2 linked regions of the Canis lupus familiaris genome follow. The protein of the gene in region 1 purifies or fractionates together with the protein of each later gene. This does not show direct contact. Links are inferred from orthologs where the notes say so. Each region holds a gene or a part of one and is shown on either strand. Other genes may lie near its edges.

The links.
Region 2: the proteins of SETDB1 (region 1) and ATF7IP purify together in Homo sapiens (affinity purification with mass spectrometry; 6 studies listed by BioGRID and IntAct, counting the BioPlex papers as one, with this or other methods). This does not show direct contact. The link is inferred for Canis lupus familiaris from reciprocal best matches to the Homo sapiens genes SETDB1 and ATF7IP.

The regions. Positions count from the first base shown.
Region 1 is NC_049238.1:60,704,605-60,708,254, forward strand, and holds part of SETDB1 (histone-lysine N-methyltransferase SETDB1), read left to right. Parts: intron 1-827; coding exon 828-862; intron 863-1,681; coding exon 1,682-1,781; intron 1,782-3,243; coding exon 3,244-3,369; intron 3,370-3,536; coding exon 3,537-3,650. UniProt on the Homo sapiens protein: Histone methyltransferase that specifically trimethylates 'Lys-9' of histone H3. H3 'Lys-9' trimethylation represents a specific tag for epigenetic transcriptional repression by recruiting HP1 (CBX1, CBX3 and/or CBX5) proteins to methylated histones.
Region 2 is NC_049248.1:14,001,773-14,005,862, forward strand, and holds the start of ATF7IP (activating transcription factor 7-interacting protein 1), read left to right. Parts: upstream 1-1,216; 5' UTR 1,217-1,453; coding exon 1,454-1,470; intron 1,471-2,362; exon of another isoform or gene 2,363-2,422; intron 2,423-4,090. UniProt on the Homo sapiens protein: Recruiter that couples transcriptional factors to general transcription apparatus and thereby modulates transcription regulation and chromatin formation. Can both act as an activator or a repressor depending on the context.

The DNA.
Region 1 (3,650 bases):
AGTTGAGTGTCTGCCTTTGGCTTAAGTCATGATCCCAGAATCCTAGGATCAAGTCCTGCATCAGGCTCCCTCCTCAGTGGGGAGTCTGCTTCTGTCTCTCAAGTAAATAAATAATCATTCAAATAATTCATAAGCAAATTGTTATAAAAATTTGAAGCAGCATGTGGGTGGGTGGGTCAGCCAGTTAAGTGTCTACATTCCAGTTGAGTTATGATCCCAGGGTCCTAGGATCGAGCCCCACATCTGGCTACTTGCTCAGCTGGGAGTCTGCTGCTCCCCTTACCTGTGCACTCACTCTCTTACTCGCTCTCTCTCAAATATATATTTTTAAAAATGTAAATATACAGTGCACCTGGGTGGCTCAGTCAGTGAAATGTCTGCCTTTTGCTCAGGTCATGATCCCAGAGTCCTGGGATTGAGTCCTGCATCAGGCACCCTGCTCAGAGGGGAGCCTGATTCTCCCTCTCCCACTCCCCCCTGCTTGTGTGTGCTCTCTGTCAAATAAATAAAATCTTCAGAAAAGTGTAAAAATTCTGTAGACCACCACCTGTCACAGTACTTTATCCTCAGGTAAGCACTGTCACCTATTTGTTGTCACCTGTCTTTCTGGACCATTTAGTACTTTTGTATATATAGCTATATATGGTTTTCAGTTGTAATTAGTAATAGTTCTGTGATAACGTTTTCAGTAGCTATAACGTTTGCATGTAGTTATAATACATGCAAATAAAATGCCTTAATGAAAAAAAAGTAGCTTAATTATTGATTTCTTGGAAATTCTTATGTGTAAGTTTCTTATACTCATTTAGAGCTTTTCTCATCCATAGGTGATGCTGGGAGCAGAACTCCCAAAGACCAGAAGGTGAGTTGGGACGGGGAAGGTAAAGATGACAGGTAAGAATAAGAAGATGGGAGAAACTTCTGGCCTGACCGTTCTGTCAGTTCAGACATCAACATAATCACGCACTCTATAATCAGCCCTGTGGGCTCTAGTCCTCTTACAGCTGTTCTAAGGATGCAGCAGAGGTTACATAGATGCATGCCCTGAGTGATGTATGAATGTAGAATTTGGCAGTGACCAGCTAGGTGAGGTTAATCAAGAGAATTTCCCTAAAGCTGATTTCTGAACCAGATTTCTAAGGAAGGGCAGTTTTCTGGGACACCTGAGTGGCTCAGTGGTTGAGCATCCGCCTTGGGCTTGGGGCGTGATCTTGGAGTCCCAGGATCAAGTACCACATCGGGCTCTCCCCACAGGAAGCCTGCTTCTCCCTCTGCCTCTGCCTCTGCCTTTCTGTGTCTCTCATAAATGAATAAATAAAATCTTAAAAAAAATAAGGAAGGGCAGTTTTGCCTGATAAAATAACCATAACTTCTCAACCATAACCCATTCTATTTTGTTTTTTGAAAGACAAGTTCTTATTCTCAAGTCTAACGTGCTATTTTATTTTATTAAAAAAAAAATTTTTTAACATTTTATGTATCCATTCATGAGAGACAGAGAGAGAGAGAGACACAGGCAGAGGGAGAAGCAGGCTCCATGCAGGGAGCCCGATGTGGGACTCGAACCTGGGACTCCAGGATCACGCCCTGGGCCGAAGACAGGCACCAAACCGCTGAGCCACCCAGGTGATCACCTAACATGGTATTTAAAAACTTGTTTCCCTCATCACCTTCCTTACAGCTCCGTGAAGCTATGGCTGCCTTAAGAAAGTCAGCTCAGGATGTCCAGAAGTTCATGGATGCTGTCAACAAGAAGAGCAGTTCCCAGGATCTACATAAAGGTTAGGGTCTGGAGGTACCTCGCTCGGTATAGGTGGTGGGAATGGGGGAGTGAATTCCTACAGAGATTTCATGGGTAACTGGCTTTGTTTTAGCGTCTCAGAATCCTCATCCACCTCCGTTGGGTCCTTTAAATACAGGTTTTCCTTGTCTGCTTAAGTCTTTTGTCTGCTGATTTTCAAATGTGTAGTGGCTTTATTATTTTTTTTTAATTTTTATTTATTTATGATAGTCATACAAAGAGAAAGAGAGGCAGAGACATAGGCAGAGGGAGAAGCAGGCTCCATGCCCCGGGAGCCCGACATGGGATTCGATCCCAGGTCTCCAGGATCACGCCCTGGGCCAAAGGCAGGCGCCAAACCGCTGCGCCACCCAGGGATCCCTGTAGTGGCTTTAAATACATTTTTAGGGGGCAGCCCTGGTGGCGCAGCGGTTTAGCACTGCCTGCAGCCTGGGGTGTGATCCTGGTGACCCAGGATTGAGTCCCACGTCGGGCTTCCTGTATGGAGCCTGCTTCTCCCTCTGCCTGTGTCTCTGCCTCTCTCTTCGCTCTCTGAATGAATAAATAAATCTTTAAAAAAAATAGATACATACATACATACATACATACATACATTTTTAGGGACGCGAGGGTGGCTCAGCGGTTAAGCGTCTGCCTTCGGTTCAGGGCATGATCCAGGAGTCCCGGGATCAAGTCCCCGTCAGGCTTCCTGCATGGAGCCTGCTTCTCCCTCTGCCTATGTCTCTGCCTCTCTCTGTGTGTGTCTCTCATGAATAAATAAATAAATAAAATCTTAAATAAATAAAATACATTTTTAGCTTCGTGCTCATGATTACTTCTAGATGGAGATTAGGGGGATCCCTGGGTGGCACAGCGGTTTAGCGCCTGCCTTTGGCCCAGGGCGCGATCCTGGAGACCCGGGATCGAATCCCACGTCGGGCTCCCGGTGCATGGAGCCTGCTTCTCCCTCTGCCTGTGTCTCTGCCTCTCTCTCTCTCTCTCTCTCTCACTGTGTGCCTATCATAAATAAATAAAAAATTTAAAAAATTAAAAAAAAAAATAGATGGAGATTAGAAGAGAGCAACTCAAACTCTTACACAGAGGTCTGAGGGAAGCTTTGTCAAATCAAGCTGTTAATAAATCCTCTACTGGAAAATGTTTTATAAGTGCTACTTAGCATTTAATGAGTATAATTAATATTGTTAATAAGGAGTTGAGAACACTTGGTTAAAGTGAGTGTTCTTAAATTACATGTGAATTTCAATTATGCAGGTTTTTCCTGTTAGCATAAATAGCTAAGTCAGCTCTGTTTTTTTGTTTCTGCCCAGGAGAGCAGCGAAAGTGACTAAGAATCAATGAATATCCCCTTTCCCCAGTTACCATATTGTACCTTCTTTACGTTTCTATTTACTATCCCCAATCTATGCCATATCTTTTTAGAATTTTTTTCCTTTCTTCTGTAGGAACCTTGAGTCAGATGTCTGGAGAACTGAGCAAAGATGGTGACCTGATAGTCAGCATGCGCATCCTGGGCAAGAAGAGAACAAAGACATGGCACAAAGGCACTCTTATTGCCATCCAGACGGTTGGTATGTTCAGGCTAGAAGAGCTAATGAAAGGCAACCTACAGGTCTCCATTGCTGATCGATCATTTCTTTTTCCCATAGCTTTGCCTTTTATCTCTCATGTAGCAGTCAGGATTTACACAGAAGCTGATGGTTTTAAAATTTTTTGTGTATCTTTTCCTTTTACTCAGGACCAGGAAAGAAGTACAAGGTGAAATTCGACAATAAAGGAAAGAGTCTACTGTCGGGGAACCATATTGCCTATGATTACCACCCTCCTGCTGACAAGCTGTTTGTGGGCAGTC
Region 2 (4,090 bases), on another chromosome or scaffold:
GGAGAATATGTAAGGATCTTTTAAGAAGCTGAGTTAGTTAATTGAATTTAAAATAAAAAACGTTGAGTTACGTTTGTCTTATTTTTGAATTTTATTATGTTAAATTTTAAATATATACAGAAATAGAATGAAATAACTCCATGTGCCCATCACTCAGCTTGAACAGTTATCAATTTGTGCTAATCTCCTTTAAGCTGTATGCCTACCACTTTCCTATACCCTTAATGAATTTTAGTAAATATCTATATCATGTGATGGATAGACTCAAAATCACATAGGGCAGCTAGATCTTAAGAAGGGTAAACCAAGGAAAAAAGGAGAAGGTAGATTTCTTAGATGATATGAGCTACCAAGCAAACAGTTCCTTTCTGTGCTCTTGTCTTTCTCTTCTCTTGATGGGTAGGTTACTTCCAAGACCAGATATGTTGGGATCTCTCTCAAATTTGTCTTGTTAGTATACTCACTTTCATATTGAATTTTAGTCTACTGTTCTCCCTTTTTGGTTTTTATCCCCCGGGGTGCCTACATTCCTTGTTTTCCCCTCATATTAAAATGTTGGGAGGTCTGAAGCAGGGAATGAAATTTAATTTGCCCTGGGACCAAACACTCACCTGGAGTTATCTTTGTGGCTATCTGGACTACAAAAGCGAAGAAATTATTTTATCTTTAGGGCAGATTCCTCAAAATAAGCTTTGTTGCCAGTATAGCTGTAATGACTCTAGTCTCTTCCCTGCAGTTATTTAAAATTATTGTCAAGATTCAAAAATTTGACTGCAAGCTTTAACCATTCTGCTAGATTTCAGTACTTGGGGGCTTAGACTCTGTGGTGGAAAAAAAATCTTTAATTAGCCTTCTATAAGTAGAAATTGACTATCAGGATTTAAACAATTTAATTTTCCAGAAACTATAAAAATTGGCACTCTTTTCATGATAAAAGTACTATAAAAGACAAAAAAAAAAGGCCTTGAGCAGACTTTTTTTTTTTTTTTTTTTTTCTGGACTGAAATGGAGGCTTTCTTTCAAGCGTATTCCCTGATGTTTGCTGTGTGTGATTTGGCTCTATCTCTGTAACTGCTAATATGTGGCATGGATTTCAGGCTGTCTGGGATCTGGATGTGCCCAAAGTCTGTATTGCAAGTCCGGATTCACAGGCATTGTGTTACAAAACTGGCTTGCTGCCTTCTCTGTTTTCTGTGTCCTAGGCAGCTGCATTGTTTGTTGCAGTATATGCATTAGCTGTTGTCAGTGTTCAGTTTCCTGCAGACTGACAAAGTGGGAGGGGCTTTGTTTGATACATAGCTGAGTTTTCACTGTGTGAGTTCTTGAGTGCACATTGCAGCCATCTTAATTACACTTTAGTGCAACTGAGACAGTGCAGCTGTCTCAAAATGGCTGCTGACCTGGTCTTTGTAGCTGCTTAGGCAGCAACTATGCCAGTGAGGAGACTTGGCACATGCATCAGGACCAGAGGTAAGAACCAATTACTCTTTATCTTTGACCATTTTAATTAAAGAATACTTGAATTTTACTGAGTTTACATAGCAAGGTGAACTTAGAGCTTGCTTGCTAGGAAGTTGAAATGTTTGCTTTAAGCTTCTTTTAGGGAAACAGTACTTAGGATGGTGAGGTCAAAGGTTAAATTCCTGTAATTTCTCACCATTTTATGTTCTGTCATTGTCAGAACATTTGATCACCACAATAGTGTTTTCTGACCTTAAATAACTTAATATTTTTTTTGTGTTGGATATTTTAGTTTGTTTGATATATTTTTTTTTTTTTTTTGTAGAAATTGAAAACAATGTATTTGCTGAATAGATTTTTTTTGGGAAAGAAGCCATAAATAAGCCTTGTTTCGCATGAAGAGTGAGATTTCTGTGTGTGTGTGTGTGTGTGTGTGTGTGTGTGTGTGTGTTGGAGCTATTGTTTGGTAGCTTTCTGGGAAGAATGTTAATTCTCTGAATATAAGTCATAGCACAGAAAGAAAAAAAAATTTTAACAGATTTTTTTTGTACTCTGGGTTCTAATTCTTTCTCATTATGCTGCCTCCTCTTGGCCATTTAATTCTTTCACATTTTTAAGGGTCCTAACTTTTTATTCTAATTACTTTTTCCTTAAATTGTCATTCAGATTTTTTTTAAATAATAAATTTATTTTTCTGTCATTCAGATTTTGAATTAGAAACAAGTTCATATGTAGGTCTGCATACTCCTTTTCTTTCTAGCTAATGTATTCTAGTGCAAGAGAGCTTAAATAAATACTCAGTTGTTTTAGGTTAATATTAATTGTTGATATCCACTTTAGTCTTAGTTAAAACCTGTGGTATATTTAAAAATAATGTAATTCAATGATTTTGTAAATTTAGTTTCACAGTTTTCAAAAGACTTTAACATTCTTCTGAAGTGGAAACATTTATTGAGATATGGTAAGTCAATAGTGACCCAGAGGGTAAGAAGAATGAAATTTTTATTTACATAATATTTCAGATAGCAGAAATTTTAAACTCTAGTGTTTAAATTGTGGTACTTACTAAAATTTTTAAATAAATGGTATAGTACAATTCTTTAGTTTTGTCAAGGGATATATGAATATATCCCTGACTAATATGACATAGAACAGTAAGTTTTGAACTTTCTAAGTACTGCAACTTTAGAAAACAACTTCTTGCACATTAAATTCTTGTGATTGACCCCTGTATTTAAAAGTGATACATATGATATTTTATTGGTTTGTATTTATTTTCCAATTTAAAAGTATAGTATTACTCTAAGTTTATTTTATAAAAGAACAATTAGGCTTTTACAATGAAAACAAAAGTTTGAAACCAGATTATTTATCACAATTATAATCTTTCATTAGTGTCAGGAGGTTGCTTATTTATTAGGTTGCTTATTTGTAGAACTTTAGTTGCTAAGAGACTGTAGAATTCATTTTGAGAAGTATTCTAGAACCTATATTCTGTATGTTCTTTTTAAATTTCATGACGGTAAAATATAAGATCTATATTTACACAAGTTAACAGTTTGAAATTGCTGTCTTGCCACAAAATTGCATTTATATTTTTTCTTTTTTTGACAAATTTTTTTCTTAATCATTGGTCATTTATTCTTTGGCTTCAAATATATTTGGGGTCACTGATTCAGTTTCATCAACAAATTTAGTATATTTCACTTCATTTACTTACTACTCTTTGAAATTGTTAGGAGTCTTTTATGTGATATAATAGATTATAATAATATGAACATTACATTATATAAATCCAGTAATATGAGGTTGCCCCCAAAAGAATAGAACAACAAATTTAGTGTTGTGAGAGAGATTTTATCCATCATGCCTTTCAGTAAGGTTTTGCCCTAGAGTGAATATGACATAGGAAGTGAATGTGCTATGTCCTTAATCATGGTCATTTTCATACCTCTCATAGTTTGAACCGCTCACTGTATTCAGATATTTTATACAATTCAAGCCAGATATTCAGTTTGTTCTTCATTACTGGAGAAAAACTGGTTAGGTTGAAATTATCAAAGCAGTTTATGTTGATCTTCAAAGTAGGACCTTGGGGAAATTTTAATGATCTGCTCTTTTTGCCTTCTATCCTGGATTATAAAATTTACCTTCAACGTCCACAAGATGACTCCATTGATTATTGCTTATACATGGGAAAATACAAAGTGGTTACTTAGGTTATTATTGCTAATTCTTTCAGGGCTGTGTTGCATTTTTGCAACTATAAGCATAAACTAGACCTCACTGGGATTATTACTTTTGGGACTGATGACAGTTTTCAATTTGTCTGTGCTGAATTCCAGATTAGCTATTAGGCTGCATAATTGAAGGCATAATAAATCTGGGAGCTGGATAATTAAGGTTTAATGTTACTGTTTTGTCGCTATTTGTACTCCCTATTTGTCCTTTTTTTCTGAGCCATTTCTTTAAGCATGAACCTTAAAGAAAATGTTGAAGTTAGTGGAGAGAAACCAACTGAGTTCAAATCTAAATTTGAATTGCTTTTACTACTTCTTATATTGGTGAACTCATTCTATGTTCTGACTTTTGCTTTCTAATCCTTAAAATGGGAAAAAATTGCCGTTTC